3 linked regions of the Drosophila melanogaster genome follow. Changing the gene in region 3 together with the main gene of any one other region gives a genetic interaction. Each region holds a gene or a part of one and is shown on either strand. Other genes may lie near its edges. The genes, in order: srl, capu and Ets97D.

Region 1 (12,914 bases), about 22 Mb from region 3:
ACATCTAACAGGTACGCGGATCGTATTCGTAATGTATGTATACCAGGTATCAGGTATCCTTTCGAAACCTTTTAGGTTTTGTAGTTCCTGAGATCTCAACGATCGTATATAATTTATAGCTAGTAATGCTAAATTTCTACCTGTTGAAAACACTTTTGAAAATATAGTTTACTATTTTCTTCCTCTTACAAATACATATAAAATTTTTTTACGTTAAAAATATTAAACATATTAATAAAATTCCAAGTTTGGATATAACATTAAACCACAGGTTTTAAAAGTTATAGGGGAGGTGGAATTTGTTAATCTTGCGTTTTCAAAATTCTGGTACTAAAACACTTTACCCTGGTGTGTTCTGTAAGCCGCCGGACCTGAAGTCCAAACATTTTGACCAGCGAATCAAACTCCTGCACGCGAAAGTCGACATGCTCCTGGGCGAACCACAAGATAAACTTCCTCCAGTTGACCATGTCGCTATTTTAATTAATGAATTGTTTATTTATATTCTAGAGCGACTTCATTACTCCTCGTGTTATTGCTGTGAGCTAGCGGAGTTGCACTGCGATTAGCTGACCATCGGCAACTATCGGCCTGAACTATCGATAACGCAGCCAGGTGTAGCCCTGCGTGCCGTCGACTCGGCCATTTTGCATTAATATTGCAGCCACACGTAGGCGAGCCGAAGATTTATACAATTTTCAGCAGCCCCAGGTCTCAAAACGCTCCAGACCTGCTATCAAAATCAACTTGAAGTGCCGCCGCAAGTAAGTAAAGCGATCGGAAATGGCCCGCTATACGCAACGTCCGGAAAACGCCCTAAAAAGGGCTAATGGTGAGTGCTGAAAATTTTCCATGCGGTGTCTGAAGAGAAACTTTCGTCTTCGCGAATCGTGTGCTCTCTTAACTCGACGCCGCTCTCTTCGTCACAGAGTTCATTGAAGTGGGAAAGCCGCTTAGGGCGCTGGACACGCTGCAGGAAGTTTTCCGGAACAAGCGATGGAACTATGCCTACTCGGAGACGGTCATCGAACCGCTCATGTTCAAGTACCTGTACCTCTGCGTGGAACTCAAGAAGTCGCACATCGCCAAGGAGGGACTATTCCAGTACCGGAACATGTTCCAGCTGGTGAACGTGAACTCTCTGGAAAATGTAATCCGCGGCTACCTGAAAATGGCCGAAGAGCACACAGAGGCTGCCCAAGCCCAGTCCTCGGCGGCCGTTGCTGTTCTGGAGCTGGATGACCTGGACAACATTGCCACGCCAGAGAGCATCCTAATGAGCGCAGTGTGTGGCGAGGACGCACAGGACCGCTCCGACCGCACTATTCTGCTCCCGTGGGTCAAGTTCCTGTGGGAGTCCTACTGCCAGTGTCTAGAGCTGCTGCGCGTAAACACGCATTGCGAGGCGCTGTACCACGATATCGCTCGCATGGCCTTCCAGTTCTGCCTTAAGTACAACCGCAAGAGCGAGTTTCGCCGCTTGTGCGACAAGCTGCGCAAACACTTGGAGGACATTTGCAAGAGCAGCAACCAGACCACCGGTGTCTCGATCAACAAGGTGGAAACGCAGCAGCTCTGCTTGGACACCAGGTTGTACCTTCTTGACTCGGCCATCCAGATGGAGCTGTGGCAAGAGGCCTACAAGGCAATCGAGGATATCCATGGCCTGATGGCTCTGTCCAAGAAGACACCCGTGCCCAAAACCATGGCCAACTACTACCAAAAATTAGCCATGGTCTTTAGCAAGGCCGGCAACCAGTTGTTCCACGCTGCAGCGCTGCTGAAGCTCTTCCAGCTGACGCGCGAGCTGAAGAAGAACCTGACGAAGGACGACTTGCAGCGTATGGCTGCCCACGTTCTCCTGGCCACTCTTTCTATTCCGTTGCCTTCGGCCCATCCAGAGTTCGACAGGTTTATTGAGGCGGACAAGAGCCCCCTGGAGAAGGCGCAGAAGTTGGCCGTGCTTTTGGGCCTGCCCCAGCCACCTACTCGCGTCTCCCTTATTCGTGAAGTGGTAAGTATCACGCAATATAGTAATGACTTATGACTAATTCATAAACACAGGTGCGCTTGAATGTTCCTCAACTCGTATCTGAGGACTTTCGCAATCTATACAACTGGTTGGAGGTGGATTTCAACCCACTGAATCTGTGCAAGCGCATTCAGTCTATCGTGGACTTCATTGAGAACGGGCCCGAAAACGCTCTGCTCACTCCTTACATTCAATCGCTGAAGGACGTGACTATAATGCGTCTGATTCGTCAGATCTCTCAGGTTTATGAGAGTATTAAGTTCCAGCGTCTCTTGCAGCTGGCCAGTTTTTGCAACATTTTTGAATTGGAAAAACTGCTGGTCGAGTCCGTGCGTCACAATGACATGCAGATTCGTATTGACCACCAGAAGAACAGTATCTATTTCGGCACTGATCTGACCGAGAGTCAACGCGAGTACCGCCCCGACGGACCCGCTTTGCAATCGATGCCCTCGGAACAGATCCGCTCTCAGTTGGTTAATATGTCTACTGTTCTGACACGGGCAGTTTCAATCGTCTACCCGAACCGTGAACGTGACCAGCGGGCCAAGCTCCGCAACCAGATGGTAAACCATTACCATGAGATCAAGGATCGCGAGCACCAGCGTATTCTTCAGCGACAGAAGATCATCGAGGACAGAAAGGAGTACATCGAGAAGCAGAATAATGCTCGTGAAGAGGAAGAGGCGCGGCGTCAGGAGGAGGAATCGCGGAAGGCCAAACTGGCCGAACAGAAGCGCCTCGAGCAGGAGCAAGAAGAAAGAGAGCGCAAGCGCCATCAGAACGAAATCCAAGCCATCCGGGAGAAGAGTCTCAAGGAGAAGGTTCAGCAAATCTCGCAGACGGCTCATGGTAAGAAGATGCTTTCCAAGCTGGATGAGGAAGGCATTAAGAAGTTGGACGCCGAGCAGATCGCCAAGCGGGAAAGCGAGGAACTTCAGCGCGAGGCCAAGGAACTGCAGTCGAAACTCAAATCGCAAGAGAAGAAAATCGACTACTTCGAACGCGCCAAGCGCCTGGAGGAGATACCGCTTTTCGAAAAATACTTGGCCGAAAAGCAGGTTAAGGACAAGGAGTTCTGGGAAGCAACCGAGAAGACACGCATCGAGAATGCCATTGCCGAACGGAAGGATGCCGTCGCCCAGCAGGAGCGTCTCAAGCGCATGTATCCGGACCGGGATGAATTCCTTGAGGCCCTTAAAAAAGAACGTGCCTCCCTCTACGTCGAAAAGCTCAAAAAGTTTGAGGCTGCTCTGGAGGCAGAGCGCAAAAAGCGCTTAGCCGACCGCATTATTCGACGCCGCGAGGAGCGCCGACAGGCCTTCCTTCGCGAGAAAGAGGAGGAGCGTCTTCGCAAGGAGGAAGAGATTCGCTTGGCACAGGCTGCCGAAGAGCGCGCCGCAGCAGAAGCCCGCCGTTTGGAGCGTGAGGCTGAGGACGAAAAGCGTCGTGCCCAATACGAAAAGCAGCGTGCCAAGGAGGAGGAAGCTGAGCGTAAAATCAAGGAAGATCGAGACCGCCTGTCCAGGGAGTTGGCCTCGGAGCGCGAACGCACTGAAAAGGACCGTGACACATGGCGTCCTCGAGGCGGTGACCGTCCAAGCGCATCTAACGGCGGATCCAGCGAGTGGCGTCGTGCTGCACCTGCGGCCAGTGAACGCAACGACCGTGGTGGCGAGCGTATCGAGCGCGGAGGAGAACGGATCGAGCGCGGTGGAGAACGCCTCGAGCGTGGTGGAGAGCGCATTGAACGAGGCGGTGACCGTGACCGCAAGGACAACGAGGGAGCGGACTCCTCTTGGCGTGTGCGACGAGAGCCAGATTCACAGCGTGCAGCTGCTCCCAAAGACAGTGGCGCTCCGCAATCGCGCGATGACAAGTGGCGGCGTGGCGGAGAACGTGACCGCGATTTCCGCATTGATGGGGCTCGTCGCGACAGGGATGATGGGCCTCGGCGTGACCGTGACGATGGTCCTCGCCGGGATCGTGACGATGAGCGCGGTGGATTCCGCCGCGCCGACGGGGCGCGTCGTACCGACGAGCCTCAGCGGGAAACTGGAGGGAACTGGCGCGACGCTCCACGCCACGCTGATCGGGAAACCCGTCGCCCAGCTGAGAGGCGCGACCGAGATGTGCGCGAGACTCGTGGCGATCAACGCGGCTCTGCTCCTAAGGAGGCAGCCAGTGGCGGAGTAGGCGGAAACTGGCGTACTGCTCCTGCGACCCGTGAGGAAAAACCAGCAGCTAAGCGCGATCAAGCCCAGGAAAAGGGTAAGTAATCTCAGCAGCAAACCTAATTTCCATTCTTATCAATGCGTTACATCTTTCAGAGAACAAAGCTGGCGATGATGGCGAGTGGACCAGCGTTAAGCGTCGTTAATTTTTATTTTCATCATCGTATATACCCAGCATAATATTCTTAATAAGTTTTTATTTCATCCGACTTGTACTTTATTGGTGTAGAGCTCAGTCGGCCGGTATATTATATCTATCTATCCAAAGCTTGTGCCAGATAGTTAAAATTGAGATGGTTGTAGGACCGATACTAATTAAAGTACTTTCGAATAAAATAACTATGTTCTAAAAAATTGAAAAGTGAAATTGTCGAATGAGAACCTTGGGAATCAAAGAAATGAAAAGTGGTTATTATTGGTTTAATTCAAAAATTCTAATTCTTATTTATCAGATTTCAGGATGAACCAAGCTTCCCTTATACGTACAGTGATTTATAAACCAGTCCCTTTAAATTTATATTTCGACAGAGCTAAAACTACATTAAAATGTAGTTTGCAAACTAAACAAATGCGGGTTCTTCTATAGTTTTACAAAGTTCGTTCTTGGAAGCGTGGCTTTTTAACATTAGGTTTTTTAATTGCCCATAAATAAAAAATGCATTCAAAAGTATTGTAAATTGTATTATCACATACGCTTGACTTATTTTAAAAAAGTGACATCTTTCTTAGGTAAAACCATATTCGTTGGGAATAAATTCGAGTAAATTTAGAAAAGCTTTTATAGCAAGCAAAACAAAAATATTCTGCCTCTGAAAATTTGCCTCGATAATATGAGCCCGCGCCTTCTTCGCACACTCAACTAGTATTTTCTTGCGAACTTGGCACTAATGCCATGGCCTCGCGGATCCTCCGCGGTGCGCGCCCCTGGTCACACTGTCTGTGCCGCTGCCGCGAATCTCGGTCCACGTGAACAAATTTTGGACAATGTGCTATACGGTACTCATGAGATAAAGTGATTGCGGGTTGCTTTGGAGTGCAGTGACGTTGGCCCATCTTAAACCGCGGGTGATCGTGATCTTCGGGCGGAACAGAAAGACGCAGTTTGACTGCCGCAAGAAAAAGCCCTTTTGGGCACCGGACTTGTGTGCTTGTGTTAGTGCTGCAGACGCGGCGCTCAACATGTGAGGTTAAAGCAGACGGCGGCAAAAATCCGAACGAACAAGCGTTCGGCTGGGGAAGCCCTTTTTCGAGTGAAATAGGTGATCCGGAACCACAACGGAAGCTCAGAAGGTAATATTGCTAGGCGCGTGCCACAGATTGGACATCGCGAATGCGATAGCGAATCCGCTGAGCTTTGGGGAGAAAGGCTTTCGAAACCAAAGTGCCAAGGTGATAGGCAAGACCTGCGAAACGTATTCATTCAACTCGATTGCTTTTCGCCAAGGAGTGCAGTATCAAAAGCACATGGCGTGGCGGCATTTACACGCACACGCGCCCATCGTGGCTCACATACACATACACGTGGTTGGGGCAAACATGTGCTGTTGCTGCTACTGCTGCTTCTTCTTTCCGCCATCGTCGTTGTGTGGGCATGTTTGTTATTGTTGTCGTTGGCTAAAACTATTGTGTTTTGTGTTCCAGGTCCATGTGTAGGTGATGCAGAGGCGCTGAAGATTGATTAAAATCATTTACACCCGTCAATCGTATAGTAGAGGGTATGTGACTGCTTCAATTTTCGAAATGTTAATTTTACCATTTAGGAAATCTTGGTATCTAGTGTCAAAAAACACCTTTCGTGCAGGCTTTCAATATTGCGGCCACAGTATTTACATCAATATATTGTAGATGGAACTTAAATTTAAAACTATTCAACTAAACTATAATAGTTTTAAGCAACAACTATCAGGAAAATATAAACATAATTTTGAATATATCGACAACCTTTCCCAGCCCAAAGAAAAAATCTTTGTAATGCAAAACATGAAGTTAAATTGTGCAATTCATGACATAGTTTTAGAGAAATCTTGTTTAAATGATTAAGTTAAGTCATTTATGACACGTGTTAAGGCTTTCTAAAGCTACATTTTTATTCCGGTTTCGGTATTTATTTACATTGTAATTTAATTTTAATGTCAATGCCTATGTTTAATTTTTACCCTGATGATGTGTCTCTGGCGGAGCTCGACGTTGTGCAAGTGTTGCATGCTTGTTATGCATTTTGTTGAGGATTCTTTTGCGGTCCATAGTCAGCTTAGCGAGTTGTTCCTCCACCTTATCCATCATTTCGGTTTGCAGATGTATACATGATTGGACACTAACGCCTCTGATCGCAAGTTGGCCGATGTGAAAAGACAACTGAGCATTGGTACCAGTTAGGACAAAGAAGCCTGTTATGCCAAAAATCCTAATAGGCGGTTTGGGATTTCTAGCTAGCTCAGAAGGCTTGAAGCATTTGACTTTAACTTCATTCTCCAGGTTATTGAAAACTGGTCGTGGCAACAGCAAATCTGCACCGTGATCAGGTTCCTTTTCCATCGGAATTGGGGATTTTGAACAGAGTAGGTTTCGTGTCGGCAGGACAGAGTGGAAGTGCGACTTAATTTGTTCGCAAAATTTGGACATCAATGGCACGCTGGAGTTTGGAGTTTTATTGGCCCCTTTATTGGTGTTCCTTGGAACCAGTGCAATAAATTTATTGTCCTTATCATATCCGGATGAAGTGGTATTTTGGAATTGTTCCGCGTCAAAAGCCTTCTTTTTTATTTCCGACAAGAAGGTTTTCTTGTGACTAGTTAATCGAATTTTTTGCAGAGCATCACACAGCTGAATTTTCTTTTCGGATTCGTGGATTGACTGTTCCAAAGACGGAGTTTTTTCCTTCTCATTCTTTCCATCTAAAGTCGTCTGGGACATACCTATATCTTTTTTCTTTGAGTATGTTTCCTTTGAGCTAGTTGAATTAGTCGAACGAGAGATTGGGGGAATCGGTATAACTTCTATTATCCTGGGCCAATTCTTCTGACTTGCTTCCTTTGTGGCCCTTAGCCGGGACTCTGCAGCTTTGCGTTGACGCCTTGTGATCACTTTTTTTGGCATTTCGTTTTTTTTTTTTATTATTATTTGGTTAACGGGAAGTGATTTTGTAAACTTGATTTTTCAATATGTTACAATCATATGACGATTGTGGATTGATATCGAAAAGGCAACTATGATTGGTTTCGTTTTTAGGAGTTCCCTATTTAATCCGAGTTTATTTGTTTACAGTTACTTAACTTTTGACGCAAAATGGATTCACGAATGCTAAATGTGTTCCAAGGAGATACCTTTGAGGCAAATTATACCAAATACGAGTCTGAGCCGATATTCTGGTCATCTAATGATGAGTGAGTGATTGTCATCAGAAAAATGTACTAAAAACTAATGCAAACCCTTTCAGACTGCAACTGACAGATACACTGAGCGGCATCCTACCCATCGCGCCCACAGACGAATCACTGCTCAACCATAACCGGGAGGAAGATCTGCAAAACAGAAAGAATCTGGTAGGTTTTGGCTCGAGGGGCATACGAGCGAATCACATTTCAGTATTAATTCGATTAACTCTTTAAATAGCTGATTTACAACGACTTTCTGAAACAGGAGCTCAGCAACCATGATGCCAATGAGCTAAATGCCCAGGTCTATCGGTCCATCGCCGACAGCGGGGGCGAGATTGCCTATGAGCAGCAGCGCCAGATCAGCGCCATTGTGGAGTACGACAAAGAAGATATTAAAATCGACGGCCTTACGGAGGAGGAGGACATACAAAGCCAGTCCACATTTCGCACCCGCACAGACAGCTCTTCGATTGGTGACTATGAATCGCACTCTAGCGACTATGATGATGAATTTGACATTGTCAACGAAGAAAAAAGTCCAAGGCTGCAGGTTGTCCATAACAATATCGGCAACTTGCAGAGCTCCTGTGAGCGCAAGGGACGGACGCTCAGTACTAACACTATTATCTCCGAAGTAGACGCATTGGGGCTAAGTATTGATGTTAATAACTTTGACCTAGCTGATTTTATTACCAAAGACGATTTTGCTGAGAATTTAAACGCCTGTCGCAAAAAGGAATCTCTGCAAGCACAGGCGCAAATTAAATCTAATACTTTAGCAGATGTTCCCATACTTCTTAATCCACCGGTTGCCACAATTGTGGCAAAACCCGGGGTCCCATCCTCTAAACCTGGCGATTCTGATTATGACTCTGACTCGATTATCGACGTTGAAACTGTCGATGTACTCGATATGAATATGGCCAATATCTGGTCAATAGATAAGCCGGCAAAAATGGGCCAAACTCCCGATGAATTACGCTATGTGGACAATGTAAAGGCCGATCCCTCTTGGAGTCCGAGATCCGCAAAAAAGACCACACCTACTATCAAAGAGGTAAGTCCTATGACGACATACTAGTTAAGAAATTCTTTATAACAGTAACTGTCATACTCAAAACAGAATAAGCCGGAACAACTGGGGAACCATCAGCTCGCGGTCCCAGCATCAAACAAACCGAAGCATAAGAATATTTGCCTGGTGCCTAATAAAAAACAGTGCGATTTTCTTAAACGTAAGGTTGGTAGTCCCTCCTTGTCCAAGCTAACTAAGGCGACAACAAAAAAAGCGACTGAGTCTATGAGCAACAAGCAGCCGTCAGTAAAAAATACTCAATGCACGGGTCTCGGATTGGGTGGAAAAAACCTTTCGCTTCTGAAGCAGGAGAGGGACGCCGCATTATCGGTGTGTGCTGCAAAACCTATAGCACCTCCAACCCTTTCGACAACAACCCCGACTTTGACACCGCCAGCAAAGCGAAAGCTAAATCTAGAGGAATATAAACAGCGTCGTTGTGGCGGTGTGGGGGCTGTGTATCCTAAACCAACTCCGCCCAAGCAGGCGAAAATAGAGGTTGCCGCCAAACGCATTGCTCCTACCCCGGTTTCAAAACCAACACCTTCACCAAAAAAAGCGGAAATAGTCAATATTGTAAACAGCCTTAAATGTCCTCGCACAGAACAATCTTCTTTGCCCATGGATCCCATTACCATGGCCAAGAACAAGGTGCTGCGTATGCTAGAGATGAAACGTGCCCAACAGCTAAAAATAATCGATTCCCGCGTATCAGCCAAGGTGCCACGCGTAACCAAGCTGCCGCCACTTAAGGATATTGTAAAGGACACCTACTGCATGGAAACTGAGGATCCTGGCACAGAGATAGCGCCACTCAGCAACAAACTCCACCCGGACTATGAGGAGATTATAATAGTTTCAGCTAGTTGCAATACAGACATAACAATACCTCCCAATCAATTAAGCAAGGCCTCCCCTCGCTCTCTCTTAAAGTCATCAGTTTTGCTGTACAACATCTCAAACGGCCAGGATGCCAATAAGAACATGAGCAACTCCCTAATAGCCAGCATCCAAAGCGAGGTCGCCAGGCAAACGAGTAACACTACTCTCTCGACGATACAGTCCAACGCAACAAAAGTTATGTCTTCCGCTGATAAGAATTGTCAGCATGGCGAGGACATGGTCATCATGCACTTACCCAAGGATCGGGTGCGAAAAACTCTTGTGAGCATTGCAACCCAAACTGATCTGCAACCCGAATTTCCCCTATTGACGCTGCCCCCAAAGCGACAGTCTCGAGAGCGTACGCGTCGAAATTATCGCAGGCGACGGACACAAGGCTCGGGCTCAAATATGTCCACTTCTTCGAGTGACTTTTCCTCCGACTGCAGCAGCTTGGTGTCACACAGATCTCGCTCACAATACGATTCGATTGATCAGCTGCGTAACTTAGATGTAGCAGCCACGTGTGGGGGCAGTATTGGAAACGGCGGTTATTCTTCTCGTAGCACTCAACGCCATCGCAGCTCGGTGAGTTCTTCATCTTACTCAGAGAATGGACAGTACAGGCGCAGGCAGCGCCGCACGAGTTACAACAAGCGTAGATCTAGAAACCAAAAGCGGGGCAGTACTTCCTCGTCATGCTCGGGCTCCGAAAAAAGCGATCGCGAACGTAGCCGCAGCCCACACAGAAAATTGCGCCACTCGCGGTCCCGGTCGCGCTCAAAATCTGATACACGCTACCCTAACAACAACTCCTCCTCCAATAACAACAATCGGCGAGGATTTTTTGATCGTAACGTGTCGCAACCGGCCGTTGAAGAGCGGCGAATCGTCTACGTCGGTCGCATTGAGCAAGAAACCACCAAGGAAATTCTGCGTCGTAAATTTCTGCCCTATGGAAGCATTAAACAAATAACAATACACTACAAGGAAAATGGGTAGGAAAAGAAAGGCCGCAAAACTATTTAAAAAAGACATTTAACGCATTTTATTTTAGAATGAAGTATGGGTTCGTTACGTACGAAAGAGCGCAGGACGCATTCACGGCCATTGACACGAGTCATAGAGACTCGCAAATAAGCATGTATGACATAAGTTTTGGAGGAAGACGTGCCTTCTGTCGTTCATCTTACGCTGACTTGGGTGAGTTTTTTTTTACTTTTTACATAATTTTATGTACGATTTTATCTAATTTGTCTTTTATAGATAATGCTGGCATTAATAATTACAACTCGTATGTGTTTCCCAAGGAAGCACCAGCACCGAATGTAGTCGAGGACTCTTTCGAAGCTTTGTTGCTTCAGGTAAAAGCAAAGTTAAACGCGGGCAAGTCACCGGTAGGTTCATCTACGCTGGAGGCACCATCAGCTTCCGGTACTGTACTTCAGGGCCACAGTCAGATGTGACATTTTGGCAGAAACCGGCTTAATTTCGTATTTTTAATTTTTAATTTTTTTGAGAATTTGAAGTATGTTACAAGCATTCTACCACTATCCTTGCACAAGTGTAGACCAATTTCCGAAGTCTCTATCTATAAACCTGAGAAGCCTGATTACAATTCTTAATTTATCTTAAAATAGTTGACAGAGCTATACAATGCAAGCAATAAAAACATTGCAATGTACATTAGGATAATTGTAATTACCGTGAAGGAAACCTAACAACAAGAATTGAAAAGAAAATGAAATTGTGATAACCGCGTAATGCATACAAAGTCATTTAAAGCACGTAAGTTAAAAGAAGATCAATAGAAATAAACACACTCATAAAAGCTTTGTAATAATCTATTTATGTAACAACCAAACCAATGGGACTTAAAACAACCAGCCGCCACAACAATAATAACAACTCAAATTCATTAAAACTATAAAATGTGTATAAGAACGTTGTATTTTGAGAGAGAGCAAGGAACGCGCATGCAGCATGCGTCGGCCACGAATTAAACTGTTGATAACTAAACTTTGATATTAGTTTGTAAAGAGCATATTTTGTACGTACTTTTAATTTACTCCGTAATTTTTGAATAGCAATTACATCAAATACAGAAGCTCCACTAAAGCTATTATAAATACATCAAAATATAGTTTTGAAATTATTAGTTAGGCTTCTTTCTCTTTTCAAATTTTATTCCGTAATTTCTAACAAGCACTGACTGACAAGCCTGTGTATCACTGTTACGATTTATTTGGACTAAGCTAAAATTATAAATTTAAAATAATATAATTAGTTTTTGAAAACAATTTGCCAAACAAGATTTTGAAAATGAATAGTTTAAAAACTATGGCCGAAACGTTGTGTTTTTAGGAACAGCCATCTCTTGTTTTTTATATTCTTTTGTACTTTTGGATAATTTAATAAATCATTTTTAGTTCGAAAACAAACCGAAATAAAATCAAACATTTTTTATTAATTGAATGATTTAGTAAGATGATGTAATGTAAGTACGCTGGCAAGACAAGAGTATACGAAATTCTCCAGACTATCGATCAGATACATTTTAATCCAAACGGTATTTTTCAAAATGTGTCCTGCCTTTTTAAAATAAAAAGATTTGCCATTTGAGTTATAACTCTGGCCTGTTTGCCTGTTAATACCAGGTATTTTCATATTTCACGGCTATCGTTTTGACCATTTCATTGTGTTATTTCTGTGTTTTGAAATTCTGTACTTAATTTAAATTAAAATTTTTAAAAGCGTCCTTAAAATTGGGTGGATATTAAATCATTGATTATATCTAAGCAGCTTAGGAAAAAGGCATAAAAAATCCGGGAATCATTGCTTAAATCCCATGCCCAATTGAATAAATTCAAAAACGCATTTTTTTTAAGTAAGCCATGTCAGGTTAGACTATGACTGTGTAAACTAGAGCTGTTCTCTGCTGAACTAGCAGGTTTTGCCAAAAGTGGTGAAAACAAAGTCCTATAATGAGCTGTTTAACAAATTTATTTCAGTACTGTAAAATATAATTTTGCTGCAGAGATACAATAAGGCGAACAAACCGAAAAAATATGCAATTTGAAAAGTCTGAGGTGGCAATCAATCCGCATTTTTATCAAGAATTATTTAATACTTTTACTTTAACTTTCTTTCTCCTAAACCATCTTAGTTGTTGTGTTAGCATCCAAGAGCGCTTCGTCACTACGTGGACTACCACATAGTGATACAAAAATAATAATAATAATAGACTGATAAACGAGCTTGTACCTTGAACCAAGCGTGTTTTGTCAAAGTCTGTGCTCGTTCTAGTGTAATGA
Region 2 (9,963 bases), on a different chromosome or scaffold from region 3:
CTCAGTTGCGAAGTGAGAATCACAGCTATGGAACAGCCTTTTTAATTAGCTCCTGAAAGATTTCCCAATTTAATTGGACCTAATGCATGTTGGGGAATGGAAAATGTGCCGCGCAAAGTTCGCTTCTCGCAATGTTGCAACTTGGATCTGGGGTTTTGGTACTGGCTTGGATTTTAATTAATTTTACACGACATCTTCCAGGGCGGAGGCCCTGGGAATGCATTTTGACACATTGTTTGACAAATTGCCAGACGCCGGGGACACACAGATACACTCGCATACGGCGCCAACAAAAGATACAAACTGAAGGATCCGGAAAAAGTCGACAAAGACAGGAGTTGCAGGTAAGAGAATCATCAAAGCTAAACTTGACGGCAACTTGTGCCACTGACGCACAAGTTTAATGCCAAAGGGCAACGTAAAGCTTCTGGCGAAGCAGCCCACAAATTCAAAAGAACCAGGGGCGGTGCCATAGCCAGCATAAATATTTTCAGAGCCCAAGATAAGTTGTATATTCGAATAAGAATAGATCAGTTCTATATGTTCTTGGTTTTCAAAACTCTTTCTCTTGTAGAAGCTGTGTTGCCTTTAGTTTGATGAGAATGTGTAAACAGAATCACCCCCTTTTGTGCGCCACTGTCACCCATTCGCAGGTGCAGTGAACACAACTATGTTGCACTAACTGCGCTTTCTGGCAGTGCGCAAAATGTCGCCGCAACAGGGCGTATGAACAACGTCTGATTCAAGCACAAATAGATTCAATGGCAACAACAACCATCAGCTGGCCGGAGCATGCAGCACGCTACAGGGGCACCTAAAACGCTCCTCGTTTGCCCAGTCTTAACCCAGATGCTACGACAAAGTCAGTTATGGTCAATAAAAAGCAATGCGACTATGAGAAAGCGCCAGCAATAGCGATTCGGCTGCTGTGATGAGGGTACACCGAAAAAAATAGGTGGCATTTTAGATTGCTACAACATTTCAACTTCATGCTTGCCAATAACACGCTTTATTTATTTCCTATCTAATCAACGATTTTTGAAGTGAATAAGATATTTTATATCGTATATCGTTTTTGCTTTGCAATCAAGAATCTTAATTGTATACACTTTTTGCGGTGTATCTATTTTTGCGATACGATTGGGGCCTCGGCCTACAGGGCAGCAGCGGCTGTTGCCTCAAAGATGACAGCGTGGAATTGCACGGAATTGGTCAAAAGCGGTTAGCAACGTTGGTTGTTAACCAGAACAGGCGGTATATTCAGAATGAATAGAAAATTTGAACAACGCATATTCAGTACTAAAAGAACAAAATGAATATTTCTGAATAAATAACCATTTATTGAATAATAAGTATCTACAACATAGGCCAAAAATGTACACTGCAGCAGGAATGCTGGTTCACTTCAAAATTGACTTCCAAACATAATTTGTATGTATCTCGAAAAATGAGCAATGCAACCTCAATTTTGCACAAACCACTTTTGGGGGTCTCGAAAAATTATTTTTTGACCAAAAAAATGTGCGTGCTGCGACAAAATGAAAATTATTTTAAATTATAGCCGTGCCACCCAATCCAGCAGCCACCACAACCACATATTACCCCAAAAATGCCAGAGACAGGTACCCCAAATGAATTCTGGTTGCAGTGACAACACATTTTGCACGTTTTGTAGATACAAATGGGTCTAATTTTTATTTGCCTCTAGTTAATTTCAACTGTGAAAAACCATTTTGAAAACGGTGAGTGTGGTGCGTGGTTAAAGATACAAAAATCAGAACAAGTTTCAAAGAACAATTCTAAAAGTATTTATTCATAAAACAATCTTTAGTTACTGATTCTGTTGAGTTTTCATTTTTAAGCCGCATAATGGTCAAAAGTGTGATATTTTCTGGATTGCTATCGCGATTCATATAGCAGTGACACCTCACCGACACAGGGACTCACCCACACCGATACCTTCGCACACACACACACACACACACACACACAAACGCGCCGAGGGAAAGACAGAGACAGATAGACAGTTGGGGAACATTCGCATCGGACACCGTTTGCAGAGCTGCAACTTTAATTGCTTTGGTGGTTTGTGCCAAATTAGATTCTGCGGTTTTGTCGCGTCGCCATTCCGGTAATCGAGGGTGTACTGTACAACGGGGGTCAGAGTGTGATGGGCAAAGTGGGGTATGCGGGATGGTGTCTTGGCCATGGCCTTTTCCCCAAACTCCGTCGAGCTGAAGCCAAAAGCTGACGCTGACGCCCATCAATTAAACTTGTCAATGAGAATGCGATGCAACAGCAGGAACAGCAGAAATAGCGACAAGAACCCGGGGAATAAGAACTAATGGTGACGGTATGGGGGACTTGGAGCTTAGAACAAGGGTTATTGAAGGGAGCTCGAAACCAAACTAAATCGACTGAAAGTTAACTACATTTCACCCGCTTCGCTGGCATTCAAATTAGGTTTCTGTTCGAGACGTGTATATTGGTAATTTGATTGGAGTTTTAGAAATTGAATTCTAGCATGTTTCAAGAAATAATTATCGGCGATGCCACGGAAATCCACGGAACTCTGTATATGAGTTGTGCCAAGAAGAAATGTTTAAATTGTTTTTGTTTATAAAAACTTCTTCTTAAAGGTCACTTGAATATTTAAATTTGCCACAGGCACCTGAAAATACTTCCAAATGCAATCAGCATGGTCCCAGGTATAAGTGGCTTTACATACGCAAGTCGTGCAAATATTATTCCACTTTCCGTTGAATTTGGAATATTTGCAAAAGAATCTAAGGAAAAATGCCTGGCGTCTTTCGAAATTTCCATTTCTCGAAAGCCGCCGGCCATTGACATGACTCTGCGGACTTATCCTGTTGTTCGGTCCTGTCGTTATGGACTCTGTCCTATCTACTATCTTAACAATTGTGCGCACCAAGAAATTGATTTATTTTTGTTTACGCCAAAACAGCAAAAAGTTTACCACATTTTCTGCTCCTTCTCTCCAACTTGCCGTTGGCCAAGTTTTAGTTGGCTTATTGCGTTTGCACTGAAAATCAGAAGTATGTTTCTCAGGATTATTCAATATTTTTCTAACAACTACTTGGCATTTAATTTCTGATATTCCCACGAGCTAAGTAGAATTTTTATTTAATACCTTTAAAGAAGTATATTTAATAGTACAAATTAGACCTAATTATCTTCTCTCTGTGCAGTGCTTTGTTATCCGCTGCTTGGGAACAGTCGGTCTAATCCTAATGCTCCCTAATTACATTGGCCAGCAAGTCAACACAGTCTAGGCCAAGTTTCCCCGCTGCCTATTTGAGTTGGTCATGTCGCTATCTGCTTTCCAGCCCTCTTATCATTTTTTAGACCCATCTTAAAGACACTCCTAATTATTGGCCCTCTGGCGCACAATGCGGCCAGTGAACTGGCTGTTCTGGATTTCTTTTTTTTTTGCCGTTGAGCCCTGTTTATGTGGTTCGACGACACCTGGCGACATCAATTAGGGGGCAGGAATGAGCTCTTCGAAATGGAAAATCGTGGGAAAGTGGCGCCTCATACTGGCCGACAAATGTCAAGATGGCTGCAAATCTCTTTTGCTCTGAAAATCTGAGGTGTTGATAAAGGTGCGATTGAAAAGTTTGATCAATGATACTATTTAAGATTGAAAAGGGTTTCTCGTTATATATTTAGGAAGCAATTTTTCACACTTATTTTTATTTAGTTTTTAATCTCTTACAGTGCCTGCATAATTTGTATGCTTTTTATGCGCAAACATACAGCGCCGCAGCTTAACAAGCATTTTTTTATTTATTTCCCTCATATAAAGAATAATTTTTTTTCCTTCTTCCGCACTGTGGAAATTTATGAAGGGCCCTCGAAATGGCCTACGACCTCTATTCTGCCCCCAAACACATTCCCCAACCCCCGTCAGGTTGCAGCTGGGGGGTGAAAAAAAAAAACGTGGAAAACATCAGACGAGCAAAATGGCGAGCAATAAAAATAATTGCAAAATTCGAGATTCAGGTGGGGGCATGCGGCACGCTTAAAGTGGCACCTCTCTTAGCCACGCCCCCAAGTTTCCAAACCTCTCGCCCCTATTCCACACTTGGCAAACAATGGTGAACAGTGAAACAAAATGTTCATTGCAGTGTAAAATCTGCGAATCGCGGTTTTCTTTTTTTTCACTTTTCCCTCGGTTTGTGTGTGTTTTCGCGTTTTACAATCTGTTTCGCAACTCACGTAAAATATAAGGTAATTTGTGGAAATTTGATGTTTATCGTAAATTGTTTTTTATTTGCACAATGTCACCATTTTGCGGTTTGCCAGCAGCGCAAACTCACACACACACGCAGACTGACAAGCAACACACACACAGGCACGCATTGGTGGTCAGAGTTGCCAAGCAGTCAAAAAATAAAATTCCACAAAAATTGAGTTTTAAAGTTGCGAAATAATTGAATACACTTTTTAAAATCAAAACAAAAATCTGTTAAGTGCAATGATTGTTAAAAATACTAGTGTTGTGCCTAAGTTGTAGTAATTAAAAATAATATATATGAAGATTATTAATTATATATTATACATATATACTGGTCTTTAAATCTGATAAATCATTAATGGTCATTGTTGTTTAATGCTCAGATAGGCAAAATATATTCAGTTTCTGTAAGAATATCTGACAGTCGATCTACATTTTTCCACCTTAATTGTGCGCACCGCAAAAAGAGCATAGATAGATGGTAAAAACAATTGCAAACATTTTTCAATTTACCTGCATGGCGGAGAGGACTTTCCTCCTTTTGTTGTTTACTCCATTTTTTATTGCGTTTTTCTGTGGGCCCAATATTTTGGGCTTAATTGTGGCACGAATACCCCATTGCAGAAGGGCTAACAATGTGATGGCTATGACCATCATAGCCGGATAGAGCTCTTCCATTGGATACACAATCATCTTACCAAAACGATATACAACAAAAAAAAGGAAACGAAAAATTACACAAATTTTGACAGAATTTTGTATGCCTAACCCAATTGAACGGTGTAGACGAACTGCTTGTTTTAAATTTCATTTTATTTACTTTATAATTATCGTATATTCTGATTTACATTGTATAATATATCGTATATCATTACTGTCTAGGTTTACAATTAAAATTAGTTTAAACTTTTGGTTTCGCACTAAAAAGGTCAGTAAAATGTTTCAATCGCCTGGCGTGAACATTTCTGTTCTCTCGGTTCTTTTTTTTTTTAAAAGCAGATTTAATAGTTTACATTTAGTTTGAGTAAAAATTATAGAACGAAAATGGACAGTTTAATATAGTCGCAGACTTAGACTAAAGTTATTGGCTATTTTGATCATATTTGGTTTTGGATTACCAGTACATCTTTGTTTATATCTAGGTGGATACTTGAAAAATGCGTGGGTGGTCTGAGTTTGTTCGGGGACTAAATAAAACTCCTTAACTATTTTTAAAACTATTTTTTTATTATACATAGTTAAAAGTAAGATCATTAATTAAATAAGAAATACCATTTATAGATGTATCTTACTCAACGCCACAGTAACCCATTCATAAAAATGCAGATATTATTCACTATTCTAATAAATATTTTCGATTATGTTTTAAACACATTTATTTCAAATTAAATTTCTAAACTCTTTGGTTTACTCTGTTTATCTATTTACAATGTCCTTAAATCTTTAATATCCATTAAATAGTTTTTATCGCTAAGAGAAATTTATGTAACCTTCATTCAAAAACGAAATTATTTTATTTTACTAAATTCCTTGCTTCCGCTTGCAATTATTCAAATAAAATACTGATACATTTTTCATTTTTAATGCTCACATATTACGTTTTTATTTTGTTTGTTAAAAGTATCAATTATGTGGATTTATTACTCAAATATTTCATAACAGAGCTAAACAAGTATTGGATTAAAGATAATTCCCCCTTCTTTTATACTTTGCTGTGCAATTAAATATTTTGTGTATTTTTACAATATCACTGAGTGCTCAAGGGTTTTACTAACAATCGAAAGCAAGCAAAGAATTCTGTACAACTGATTGTTTTTACAACCCATTTCGATTTTATAATTTTAGAGCGAAAAAAGAAAGCAAAAAGGAATTTGTATCATTTTTGTTTCATCCGCAAGTTGGGAGAAAGTTTTGCTATAGTTGGCTGATGATTTTTCGGTAATCACCTTTCACAAATGAAGGTGAAAAGTAAATAAAAGTATTTGTATTGAACTTTTCACCCAGTTGTAGTTTACAAAATCGGTTTTAAGCTTCCCGCAGTTTAAAATTTAATTCGAATTCGTTTTGATGTCTGTTGATTATTCCATTTGCCGGCTATTATGATTTTATTTTAAAGATTTTCTCTTTTTGCTAAAAGATACTGTTTCTATTTGAATTTCCATATTTTTGCGGTCTTGTATGACGCTGTGTAGATATTTTTTTTGTTAGCCTATTTTTATGTAAATGCAACTCACTTGGACTTTTGACTGGCAGTACTAAATTTTCAAGTTTTTTTTTTAGCAGTTGCAATTTAATGACTCCATGTTCTACTATTTACAGATTGCACAGTAAATAAATTGATATTGTGTGCTCTGATTTTGCCGAGCTGAATTGCACGGAGCTCTTTGTGCAATGGCAAATTAATTTGCAAATTTACACAATCTAATTTTAGGTCACCGAGGGACCCAGACGACCAATTGTTAATTTGTAATTACAATTTTTGCATTATTATTGCTTGCCGACAATGCGAACAATTGAAATTAGCAGCGCAATTAGTCGAACCGAGCAAACAAATATTCGTTCCAATTTAATGCCCCAATGGAGACAAAAGCTAATGAGGAGTCGAAAAACTTTTGCCAACCTTTCCCCTTTTTCGCATTGTGTCGAAGTTTGATTTTTATTGGTCATGTTTATTTTGCATTTTGGGCTGACTGGGCGGAAAAGCAATTAAATGAACATTTTGTCTCTTTTATTTGATTTAAACGAGAACAATTTCCATATTTAAAAAAAAAAATGCATAGAAACCTCAAAGGTGGCTTTTGTGTTTGGCTGTCGGTTTAACAATGATTTGACCAGAATATTATGGCGGTAGTTTTGCAGTTTGTCGCCATGAACCTCAATATTTTGGCCACAGTTTTGAAAAAGTATTATTATTTTTAAATAAATAGAATAAGCAGTGAGCAAAATAACGTGGGCTGAATCAGAAAACTGCATTCGATTTTCGCTTGAACACTATCTATTACAAATGTACCCATGTTTGAACATAAAATGTTTGAAGTCTATAAATTTTTAAAAGTCAATACTCATATTTGAAGAAGAAATTGATTTTTACGAGAATTTGTTCTCTTGCTAAAAAACTTCCTTTGGGAATTATTAGGTTTGTGAATTACTTTTTTTAATTCTTAACCTAATTGGAGTTGTAGTTACTATTCTCTTTCGTATTTCTTTCGGTTCTTTAAATTTACAGAACTCTTTCTTGTTTTTTGGTCGAAATAGGCAAGGATTTTTTATTTTGCATGTTGATTTTGCATTGCAAGCAATTTTCACGCCACTTAAACAGCTAAAAAATTTCATTTTATTTTATGATTATTTGCTTGTGTTTTTATCTATATATTTTTTGTTATGTTTACTTACTCAAATGCTTATGTCGAAATGTATTTGGTTGCCTTTTTTTTTTTGTTTTATCTTGTTCTTGTTGTCTCTCAACTGGCAATTAGTTTAATTTGCCAAATCCTGTATTATATCCGCTGCAATGAGAGAGGCAAAAATCGATTTGCGTTTAGTGCGATTTAAGCTCATTAATAAATAATGGTGAAATATGCAATTTAAATTAATTAATGCGTGTGTGAGCGGGGGCTGTTCCACTAAGCTATTAATTTGCGCAAAAAATAAGAGATGGGCTTAGTTTTTATGCAGCTATTTCATTTGGATTTTTAGATTGGGGTCAAACGAGCTGGTTGCATTATATTTTTATTTATATGTATATTTATAGAAATTCGCTGGTATTGCATTTGCATTCAATCAGCATAATGCGCTGCTGAATGGGCCGAATGCAGTTGTATTTATTTTATTTCTATGTATCCTCCATCATATTTCAACCGCATTCTATTCTATGCTTTTATATCCTATCCATCCATATTATGTGTGACTTGAGGCGTGTTGAACGTTGCCATCTCGAAAACTCGCTTCAAATGCCAAAACACTTCACATCCGCCGAGGTGCGAGACTTTTGGGAAAATATTTTCCCCCTTTCTCGCCGATTCGAGGCGACACTTTATGCACTTTGACTTGCCTCTGACAATTGCGACTTTTGCATAAATACATTTTCTGAATTTTCCGAGTCAAGTGGTTTGTGGAAAATCTCGTTGGCGCGTCTCGCACACAATAAAATACTTTCGAATGCGTTTCTGATGCATTCTGAATGCGTGGTGGCGTTGCGCGGAGCGAAAATGTATCTGATCGCAAAAGCCGCAATGCATTTTCCGCACAGATTTTCCCCGCATTCAGTATGTCTCGCTCCAGCCCCCACAAAACTCAATTAACGCTTCACGGTTTCCTTTCACAAAATGTGACACAGTCGTTTGAGCTTTATGTTTGACCGCTTGTTGTTATGTTTGATTACCTAATAAACATTTTATGAGCCAGGCCAGTTGGTCACACGGCAAATTGGTAAATTGTTTGAAAAGATGCATTACACGCGGTGAGTCCTTTCCTTTTTTTTCCCCTCCTTTTTATGTCTGCTCCTCCTCGCGATTTTCCAACCCCTATCCACCGCTTGGCTCGCCTTTTAGCCAACCATTTTGGCCAGGCCATAATTAACAAGCTGCAAAGCGGCTCCAATGGACTGGCAATGAGTTTCCCGTTTTAATATCTTACTTTTCGAGGGAAAGTGTGAAGCGACCTGCTTGTTTAAACGCATGTAAGCTGTTGAATATTTAAATAAAATTGGAACGACGGCTTTGCTCTATAGGATATAAATAATCAATACATATATTCTTCTACTTTCATCTGCCTTACATTTCATATTAATATATTATTATTTCATATATACGCCTTGTTAATTGAATACACCGGTTGACTTTTAGCAGCTAGGGTATTCTGCGATCGTTGTAATTGAATTGCGAGTCAGCCCACTATAAAGTCGGTTAATGTTGACCCCATTACAGCCCAGAAATTGTGTTCTCCGTACTTCTCCTACCCATCTGCAGGACCACCATGATGATAGTCCAATGGCTTTTGTTGGCCCATAAAACATGTTTGCCGGCTATAAGATGCGTTCAGTTGGTGGGATGCTGTAGTCCGTGTTGCTACCTGAACTTTCCTTGACTCCCCCAACCCCGAACCAGAATGCTTTTGGACTGCTCTTGTATTTATGCCTATGAATATTTCATTTAATTGAAGCGCATTCATTACCAACCACACAGAGCAAACAACAACCGCCCTTGCGCCCCTTGCGACGCCACACTTTTGGCGTTGTAATTAAAATAAATTTATTACGTAAAATGTTTTGCCAAAAAATTTGTCGAAAGTTGTGGCTTTCGCCCCGTGGCGTAATAAATAATGTGGAAGGTGTATGCGTGGTAGTATCTGTGTGAATGTATGTTTAATGATCTGTGTACTTGCTGTTTTTGCAACCGTCGCCGTACGGAAATTGATGCGGTTAATATGCTTCCAATTGTTAATTTTTGCATTTCGTTTTATATTTCCGAAAGCCACAAAATCAAACAAATAAAGATACGCACAGGGAATGCAAATAGAAGCCGAAAACAAAAAGCTAAATCTAATCAACAGGAATAACAAACCGACCGAGCGAGCAACCAACAAATTTAATGGATAACCCAAAATTTATGATTTTCCCGGCTCTGATTTGTCTGACCGGATTTTTCAATATTCATGTAATTAATTTTCTCGAAAATCTTCTCGTGCTGAATGAATTTTCGATAGGG
Region 3 (9,736 bases):
TATTTGTGCTGTTTTTGGAGGCTGTGTCTATATCTACTGCGAGTAGATGGCTGACACGCCTAGATACTTGGCACGTCATGTGCTAAGAGCTCAAAATCCAAGAGCTCGTCCACAGATTCTCTGACTCATCCAAAGAAAGTTTAAACAATGCCTTTCGGCCTGTTAATTCTTTGCCTTTCCCAAACACCAGAAACTGATGATCATGATCATGGTGATGGACGTAAATATAGTTGTAGTCATCATCGGAGTTTTATGGTTGCTCGAATGCCTACAACCACTTATTTAGTCGATCATTTTGCAGCAGGTGAGGAGAAATTTAAGTTTGGGCGTGGTCGAAGATGGGCTGGTCCTGAATTATAAATGTCGAATTTGATGAGATTGTTTAATCATGGCATAATTTAAGACCGAACTTCGAATGGCGGCGACTAAAAATCGATTGTATTGAGATTTACCGAGATTTATGCGGCAAATAGGCACATCTGCCTTCTCTATCTTTGATCTGATCTCCTCGAGAATTGCTTGAACTCAACTCATAGCAATGGACAAATTGATTTGCCATATATGGGCTGTATCATTGGGGTCTATCCACGGGCCCAACCAGTCGATATCATTATTTATATCGCTTCAAGATCACAGCAGTCTGCAATTCCAGAACATTTACATGATCACCTGAAGAAGATGCACGCCCATCGAATTGGAATTGTAAGTCGGCGACGACGACAGGCGGACTAAAGGCAATCATCCATTTAATAACCAATTATCATTGATCAACTGCACGCCCAGTCCCCAGAGACCCGAGCTGGAATACCAAAAGACAGAACACTGGCCAACTGACCACTGAGCAATATCAATTACGAATTACATCTGATTATCCGCCTCTGCCTGGGAATTGGCCATTTCCATTGCCAATGCCATTGCCATTGCTATTGCCATTGCCATGGTCGCGATCATGGGCACAGCTCTCAGGATTGAAGATGCCAGATTCAAGATTCAAGATCCATGCCAGATCTGGGGTATGGGAGTGCAGTTCCAACTCCCGCCTGGGGGATGTGTGTGTCTGATTAGCGCATAAACAAGTTAATGCCATTGATGATGACGATGCTGAACCACCTGGACAGACGCCAAGTGCATTGCAATGGGCCGACCGACGGGATCTGGATGCGTACGTGGTGCGATGTTATTGTTTTCCTTGGCAATCCAGTATCAAGATATATTGGGCAGGGGCTCCTTCAGATAAGACGCAACTTCTGGCCTGTTTGGGAGTCGCGGTGCGTCTCCTCGTCTTCGTCGTCGTTGTCGTGGTCGGTTGACAACAGAAACTGGCGGCGGCTTGGCAAGCTTTTGATCTTGACGAAGTTTTAGCCGCCGAAGCCGCCGCTGGCATCAGCCTGTGCTGGTATTATCATGTTGAACTTTCCCAGTTTTCGTCGTCTTCCTAGAATATGTATATGTATCTCCTCCTCTGTTTGCCCAACACTTTTTTCAGGGCGGACAGGGGGTGGTGATATGCTAATGTTGTTTGGGTTTGGGCAGCCAAAAGTCAAACACTGTTTGTTGACGTTACCTTGAATTCGTAGGGAAACAAGCGACGGCACAAAAGCCCCAGCAGAGCTATGCGAAGATCTATGGCAAACAAAGATGTTTAAGATATGTCATGTGTTCAGAGCGGACGGATCTTGACATCATAGTTAGAGTTCAATTGCTCTGGCTTCGCTAGGGATCGTCGTCTTATTGACTGGCATAAATTGCAGTTCATGAGAATGTAGAATATGTGTTCTATTCCTTGGCTTTATGAATACCAATTCATTGGGGAAATTTATGGAATATAACCAGACTCTAATCTTAGAAATGTTTGCTTAGTGTAGTTTGGGAATTACCCTCCCGAAAAGTCTGGGAATGATTTAATTCGTCGGCATTAGCGTGGACAATTGCCTGTGGGAGTGCTGTGACTTGTGTGCTTCTATGCAAATGAGGGGACAATTATGCTGATCAGCGCTAATTGAGGGAGCCATAATGACCCACAGAGTGACTAACCCAGTTCCCTTTGCTTCGTTCTCTTCCCCAGGCTGCCCGCTGACGACGAGTTCCCACTGCCTGCGCTGCAACAAGGTGGGCTGCATCAAGTGCCCAATGTACCTGGTGACGGACACGAGGCAGTGCGTGGATCAGTGCCCCGCCGGCTACTTGGACCAGTGGTCCGCCCACACGGAGTTCATGGGTCGGGTGTGTGTACCCACCGGCTATTCTGGGCCACTGATGGCCGCACTGGCCGGACTTCTCGGTGGCTTCCTCGTTTGCCTGTCCCTTCTGGCTGTCGCCGTGATGCTGGTCAAGAGGAAGAGGCGGCGAAAGTCCATCAAACAGAAGCTCATCAACGAGAACACCATGGATCGGGCGGACTTCATGAGGCAGCTAAACGAGATGCGTCCGAATGCGGAGTACTTTCTGGCCATGCTGAACGATACCCGGCGGCAGATCAGGAAGCTCTATTTGTCGGGTGAAGTGGCGGCTGCCAACTCGTACAGGCCCATCGTCCGGGATCTGGCAAAGCTGCTGATTCTGCTAAACAGGCCCATTGAACTGATTCCCGCCCCGCCGCCAGATTGGTCCAGGCTTTATGCCTGGTCGGAGCAGGCCCTGGAGCGTTACAAGCCGCAGGTGGGCCAGCTTATCGACTTCTTTCAGGCCTCACACGGTCACAGTGCTGGCCACCACGAGGTGCTCTACGCTGCGCCGAACAAGAAGAAGCAACTGCAGCAGCCCAGCATCTTCCGGCAACAGGTGACGCCCACGGCGACGCCGCAGGGAGTGGGCGAACTGATGGCCGGCGATCGGAGCAGCAGTGCCTCGGCGCAGCAGAAGCTACACCTGTTTGGCTCGCTGATCAGCCTGCACGAGTTCGAGGAGCCGCGGGCTTCGGATCCTTTCGGCAGCAGTTTCAACACGCTGAAGAGCGGCAATCTCATCTCTGATCTCAACGCCAGCTCGCTGTGGCTGGAGGACGAGTTCTACAAGCTGGGCTTTCGACCGCAGGACGAGATCACCACGGAGCTGTAACCGCATCACAAAACTCATACTCAAAACTTAATGCAAACTAAGTATTACCCCGGCTGGCGGCGCTAGCCGTTCGAGTCTAGCGCCAGTTCAGCTGGGGGAATGGAGCATTTGCGTGCACATTCCGACAGGCCATCATCGACTTCGACAAGCTAACTGGGAGGCCGTTTAGCCGGAGCCGCTAAATGCCCACGCTTAGAGCTTAGTTAGATCAGTTAAGCAAGCAAACTAGTCACGTAAAATCACAAACAAAACCATCAACACACAACGATGCCGAGGAGAAGGAGCTAATGCAAATGCAAATGGAAATCGCGTGGAAATGAATTTAGTTTTATGGATTTTACAAAAATCGCAACAATCATGTAACGAACAATATTCAATATACACACTATAGAAATACTATTCAGATAATAACTAAGATGATTAGCAGTATAAACGCGATACTTATAGCTATAGCTTATGTAGACAGAGATTATAAACCTTAGCGAATACGAAATGGATAATAAAATCGTGTGCCTTAGGATTGTAAAATATGTAACAATTTGTATTATTAACCAGGCGCCGTCATCCGACCAAGTCAGCCAACGCTAAGGCTCCTCGTACTTCCAGAGTATGTCGGGTTCCTCCTTGAGCTTCAGCTCGCCATGTCACGTGTCTTCTGTAATTGTTTCCGTTGCGGCTACGCGCTCGGGCGCCGTTTTCCCCTCGCTGACCAGCGTGGATAGCTCATTCGCATCATAGCCGATCAATAGCTTCAAATCGCAGTCAAATTTGTATGCGAATCGCTTGCCGGACACCTTGGAGATCATATCCCCATCGTAATAGTAGCGGAGAGCCCTTGATAGCTTTTCGTAGTTCATAGCGGGTTTGTTTTTCTTCTCGCCCCAAAGGCGTGCCACTCGATCCGGGTCAGTGAGCTTAAATTCTCCCTCGGTGCCCACCCACTCAATAACGTCCGTGTGCTCGCAGTCGGTGAGTATTTCGAGTAGGAACTGCCATAGCTGCACTTGTCCATTATTCCCGGAACCGATGGTAGTGTAGTTTGATGGATTCATGGATGACGTAGTACTTTCAACGGCTGTGAACGAAGTAGATATTGTTAGCTCATGCTTTGGTGTAACATTCACACGTCTACTTACAATCAGAGCTCTTGACTGACTGATAGGATTTCCGCATAATCCGCTGTTCAAGCGAAAGGCTGCCCCCTGAATTGGTCGATATGGAATTGGCCGACATGATTCTTGGTTGCTTGGGCTTACGCTGCTCCTCCGCTCGTTTGTGCACTACGGACACGAAATTACATTCTTTTAGCAGCTGGAGGTGGGTCCAGAAGATGTTGCCTGGATCACGGGGCAGCTTCTGATTGAATTCCTCGTGCGTCATTGCGCAGAGTTCCTGGCCATTCATTTGCCAGTCGCTCATGTTGATGCCAACTAGTTCGAACTGCTTGACGGCCCACTCCAGCCAGTACGTCACGTGTGCGTGTGTCCATTCGTTGGCCGCCTCGGGTATCTTCAGGCGTATTTGTTCTCGCTTAAACTTGCTGTCCAGGACCCAATTCAAGACTGGCTTGACATCCTTGCCCTCGACGGATTCCTCTTCGGAGTCTTCCTTGTGCATGCGCTTGAGTGGGGTTTTGATGGGGCTTTCGCTGGAGGAACTCTTCTGGCTGGCCGTTTCCGGCGGCGAGAGCTGGCCCACCACCTCCTCGGCCAAGGCAGCCAGTGCGGCCTCCGTGGGCTTCAGGACGTCGGCGATGTTAATGCGCTTGCGAATAGTTTGTATCTGCACGTTGATCTGGACCAGGCCTTCTCCCTTGACGCATTGGTCCACGAGATTCTTGTGCGATTCCAGCTGCAGGAGAGTGGGGGCTTAGGTAAACATTTTATTACGCCGCAGATAGACTCACCTCCTGCGCGTCCTGCAGCCAAAACGTGTAGTAATTCAGGCACACTCCTATCTTTTGCTCAACAAGTGATCTGTGGGTAGAAATGAGGGTTATTTGCATGACTAATGGGGGCCAGTCTTCGCCAGACTCACTTGAGCATGCTGAGCGGCTCCCGGATGTCCATGTGCACGATGATGATGTCGTCCGGCTCCGCCTCCGTCTCCACATCGATGCTATCCTCGAACATTTCGCTGGCAATCACTTCTTCTGCAAATTGTTTACAATTAATAATTCGGTGTAACAACAGGTGCGTCCCAATTGGGAAATGGCATCATTCCACTTACCCAGGGCACCGCCAACGCTGAGGCGGCGTATTAGCTCGTCCGACAAGTCATTGCTGCTGTTCATCGCGGCTTAAAATCGCAAATAACTGCCTATATTAACAAAATGTTTTTAACAAATTTGTCTCGTGGATTTATTGTTGCATCTTCAGTGTGACCGTGTACGTCGGGTGTGGCAATACCGAATAATACTAAGTGGCGTTGGTACAGGGCTGCATAGTCACTGGCCAGTATTGCCACCAATTCTATCAGATTTCAAAACTCTGGCGGTTCTTTTAAAAGTGATAAAAGTTTCGAAAAAATGTAAATATGAATGTAAGTTAGCAAGTCTGAAATACAATATTTGCTTTAATGATGAAAAAACTTAATAGCATCATATATATTTAAAGAAAAACATCAATTGTTATTTAGTTTTAAAAGAATACATGATTTTGTTATAGTTTTTACTGGCAAATATTTTGCCAGTTTTGAACTATTTTCAAGTTCCCTTTTCCTGTGTGGAAATTCATTGATCAAAAATTTCTTTCATCACCAGCTATTAATATTTTGAGCCTAACGATCTATAAAAATTAGCAATCTGGTGACAAAATGTGTGCTCGCCCCCTCAAGTGATTTCCTAGAAATGCCATCGAAATTAATTGAGGAATTCAATTCGCAACAACAAGTCGATGCTTAAGACACCCACTTGTGGTTGAGTGGTTTGCTCTTCATGCGATATCTTTTCGCCACTTTCTTTCGCTGCAAGACTCAATTGGCCGACACAATTGGCCATGTTTGTGCGTCGGCCTGACTAGGAAGCACTTGGGTGTTCCCACAGGCAAGTGAAGTGGCCAAGTGCTGCTCATTTTCAGCTAATGCTGATTAAATGCCCCGTAACACGATCAGTGGGTCAAAACGGCGGGACAATGAATGCCAATTGTGCTATGGAGCAGAGGACAGCCTCAAGTGCACAGAGTACTTGTTAACACAAGCGTTTTTCCATGTACCATGTACCGAGATATGGACAAAGACGGCTCCCGGCCTGAATAGTCCGGAGTTGGGAGCATTACCTCATGCTGTTGACTCAGTTGGCATAGTAGATGAACGATATTTGCTTGCGAATATCTTGCTGATGACAATGTTTGATTTTGATTTCGGTATTAGCTATAAGTGATTCAATGTCTGCCACGAATGTTCTGGCACATCATCATCCCCATATTGTGCAACCTTGCAACTTCATTTTCCCCTTTCCGTTTCGTGTCCGAAAACGAGGGAAACTAACAAGCCAGAGTGCGGATTTTGTTTTATTTGGGGACTAACTCTGCTTTGTTTACTTGCCAAGCTGTTGACTAATATTAGCCAGCTGGTCAAATTCAGGCGCTTCAGGTCAGTTTTTTTTTTGGTTTCATTTTGCGTACTTTCCAGCCATTTGAAGTTGAGTCATTGTCAAAGTCGTCTCATTTGGATATTATTAGATGTGAGTGGTAGTGAAATTTCTATCTTTCTTTCTCACCACACAAACCCTTATTACTCATTATATGCTAATGAGGACTTATCTCATTGCACGTTAAGTATACGCCGCATTGACCTTCTGGCAGATAGAAATCTATGCAGACCGAAAATTGTCTAGGTCATGACACCCAGCTGCAATGGGGCAACAAACAGATGAACGAAACCAGCCCAATGACAACGTGGAAAACTCACTCAAAACCGTTAGCGTACATAAAACTATGCGCAGTCATTGTGGCGCCTTTGACTGCCAGAAATTCCCATATATTCGGCTGCCAAGAACCGTCGAAATAAAAACACAAAAAAAAAAAAACAAGAAAAATAAAGGAAAACAACCCCTTGGGGTTTTCGCCTCTGGATTATTTGTCCGCCGAGCGTTCAACTCCACGGAATTGCGTCACTGGATGGCTAGAATTAAATCAATAGGGACAACTCCCACGCTGAGCACCAAAGTGGAGCACCAGAGCCCGGGACTTGGAGAATTTGCATTTCCGTGGCCCATACTGAATGGCCAGTATTTGGGTCGTCTAAGGATTGCTATCGCTATCGCTATTGCTATTGCTGCAAGGACATTTCAAAGGCGGTCGGCGTTTTCGTTTCAGCTTTCTTGCTCTTCGTTTCATAATTTCTGGTTTTTAATTAATTGGTTTTTTTTTCGAGTGAGTTATGGTGCCTTTTTTTTTGGTCTGCACCTAGAAACCTTCGCTCGAATTGGGGGCAGGATATGAACTAGTTTGCTATTGGTTTTTCGAAACAAGTCTGCATTATTTATTGGCCAGTTGAGGGCAGTGCAGTCACGTTATTGATGAACCGTTTAAGTGGTTGCTCAAGAAACAGGACATGGTTGTGGTCTTCTAAATGGGCTATCTATCATCTTTTGGCTATTTCCGATATTATAAATCCACCGTTCGTTGATTGAGTCACTTCTGCATTTGGGATTCATTAATATTCTGCGATTGTGTCACCACCACTGACCAAATTATGGTAGCCAACACTTGTTCAAATGATTTGCTTTCAATTGCGGATAACCCATCTGAGTCATTGTATCTTATTCGCGGATATTTATTATCTTTCTCTTGTATCATTGTACTTTTCAAGTACTTTTCCATCCTCGTTTGTGAATAACTTGTAAAATTCCTTTTGATTGATAATAAAGAATATTATAGATGTAGATTTATACTTTTAGCCAGTTATATCCTTTATAAGCATGTGCTATGATTTACTTAGCAAAAAAAATACACACTAATATAGGTTGGCATTGAGCACTATGCACTCAAAAACATTAAGTGCTCAAAGTATAAAGAGTTTTTAAAAATATAAATAAAAATAAAGATGGACATGTATGCCTAAAATCACATACATTGACATTTTTGTTTGAAATAGTAACCCTCCATTGAGGCAATAAGCTTTGTAATCCATTTTTTATGATTTTACAAATGTTTAGAATCTTTAAATTGAATTTATTTCGAGTGTTCGAAGTTCGACTGTTCGCACCGGAACGGCAGCGGTTGCTTTCGAACTCGAACATGTTCGCTGTCAGCTGGCTGGGTGCCTTAACTCGCATCGCTTTCAATATTGAACGACAGTCTTGTGGCGCAATTGAAACGCGACGGTTTTACTTTTTCGGAGCGCGGGTGTTGCCAAAATATCAGAAACAATAAAAGTGCCGACCGCTCGCGAGTTTTGTTTCTGGCCAAAAGCGATTGCTATAACGCTTATTTGATTAAGTACGCAAGTTTTGTTACTTTTTTGCTGTTATCTTTGAGAGCGTGCGTGTGCGCTTTTGTTGCCTTTTTGCAACTACCACAAAGTGGGCGGAATTTGTTGTGTGGGCGTTTTGTTTGCCATTTAGAACACAATTTCAGCGTTGGCTGAAAACTAGTTAGCCAGACATGAACAAAAAAAAAAAAAACACACACACTAAAAATTCAACTTCTTTCATAGCCAAAACGGTCGAACAAAAGACCGGCGGTCTAAATTTCAAATATGTAACGAAAATAAATAAAACACAGCACAAATTTAGCTGCGTGACATTGCCCCTGGCGGCCGAACAACAATAGTCGGTTTCCATCGATTTGCATTCGTTTTCCCTTCGCTCTAATCAAAAGCAAAATAACAAATCCAAATCCAAATCAAAAGCACACACGCACTCACCAAATGCACGCTATCAGCAATCAAAGTGTAACGGGCAACGTTGCAAAGTTGCATATAATCAAATGCATATAACCAAAAAAAAAAAAAAACACATAATAATAATGCTACAATTTCTTGTTTCATTTTGGAAAAAAATCATTTGCTTGAAAAATCTGAAAAATGCACAGCAAGCTGTAGGAAAAGCCCACGAATTGTGTTGTGCCAGCCAAGTGGAAAAATCAAACGAGGTGAGTTTGGCAATCGTTTGAATTGATTTCGAATTTTTTGGTAACATGTGAAAGTTGGCAATCCAGAATCCGAAGTGACCCGGGCAGATATTGATTTTGCTGCGAAAGATGTCCTTCGGCCGAATGCAATGCCGGTTCCGAGTGCTCCACAGCAGCTGGAATTCCCAAGGACGTTGCCTGCTGCAGTGCTTGAACTTTTCACCTCCTGTGAAATGAACCCACCGCCCCGCCACATGAAACAGCTGGGAAATTTCCTGTGCTCTCTCTTTCTCTTGTTCGCCGGCAGCATTTTTCGCTTTTCCGTGTTGCAACAGCACGAGAGTGTTTTCCATTTCCATGCAACGCCGAACAAGTGGCAGCAGGCTCTCTCTCTTAGCCGGCGCTTAAAAGTGGCACGTGGGTGGCTCTTTGGTTCTTTGGGTTGCTGGTGCCCCAAGTGGCGTGGGTGTCCAAACCTGCACCACCATTGCTCATCAGAGGCTTGGCGGCTGGCAACGGACACCACTTGTTTGGCCATTTGCTAATCTACTAATCTAATTCCTTTCCAAACTTTCAATTTCCTGTGGAGATCTTATAAAATAATA

What was found.
Region 1: of Ets97D (region 3) and srl, changing one enhances a phenotype caused by changing the other (phenotypic enhancement), as found in Drosophila melanogaster (one study listed by BioGRID).
Region 2: of Ets97D (region 3) and capu, changing one enhances a phenotype caused by changing the other (phenotypic enhancement), as found in Drosophila melanogaster (one study listed by BioGRID).

The regions. Positions count from the first base shown.
Region 1 is NT_033777.3:4,421,617-4,434,530, reverse strand, and holds srl (spargel), read left to right. Parts: upstream 1-5,195; 5' UTR 5,196-5,556; intron 5,557-5,907; exon of another isoform or gene 5,908-5,981; intron 5,982-6,330; exon of another isoform or gene 6,331-6,411; coding exon of another isoform or gene 6,412-7,362; exon of another isoform or gene 7,363-7,501; intron 7,502-7,530; 5' UTR 7,531-7,551; coding exon 7,552-7,649; intron 7,650-7,702; coding exon 7,703-7,808; intron 7,809-7,878; coding exon 7,879-8,700; intron 8,701-8,766; coding exon 8,767-10,598; intron 10,599-10,657; coding exon 10,658-10,803; intron 10,804-10,866; coding exon 10,867-11,066; 3' UTR 11,067-12,048; downstream 12,049-12,914. Other genes in the region: CG1074 (uncharacterized protein), read right to left, coding at 345-470; eIF3a (eukaryotic translation initiation factor 3 subunit a), read left to right, coding at 784-832, 930-2,014, 2,065-4,303, 4,363-4,412; CG31525 (uncharacterized protein), read right to left, coding at 6,412-7,362.
Region 2 is NT_033779.5:3,897,824-3,907,786, forward strand, and holds the start of capu (cappuccino), read right to left. Parts: upstream 5,038-9,963; 5' UTR 4,772-5,037; intron 1-4,771. Other genes in the region: fred (friend of echinoid), read right to left, coding at 7,736-7,764. UniProt on the Drosophila melanogaster protein: Acts as an actin nucleation factor and promotes assembly of actin filaments together with spir. May play a role in intracellular vesicle transport along actin fibers, providing a novel link between actin cytoskeleton dynamics and intracellular transport.
Region 3 is NT_033777.3:26,907,411-26,917,146, forward strand, and holds Ets97D (Ets at 97D), read right to left. Parts: upstream 5,477-9,736; 5' UTR 5,351-5,476; coding exon 5,287-5,350; intron 5,210-5,286; coding exon 5,095-5,209; intron 5,034-5,094; coding exon 4,964-5,033; intron 4,909-4,963; coding exon 4,194-4,908; intron 4,133-4,193; coding exon 3,702-4,132; coding exon of another isoform or gene 3,642-3,701; 3' UTR 3,365-3,641; downstream 1-3,364. Other genes in the region: T48 (transcript 48), read left to right, coding at 2,066-3,057.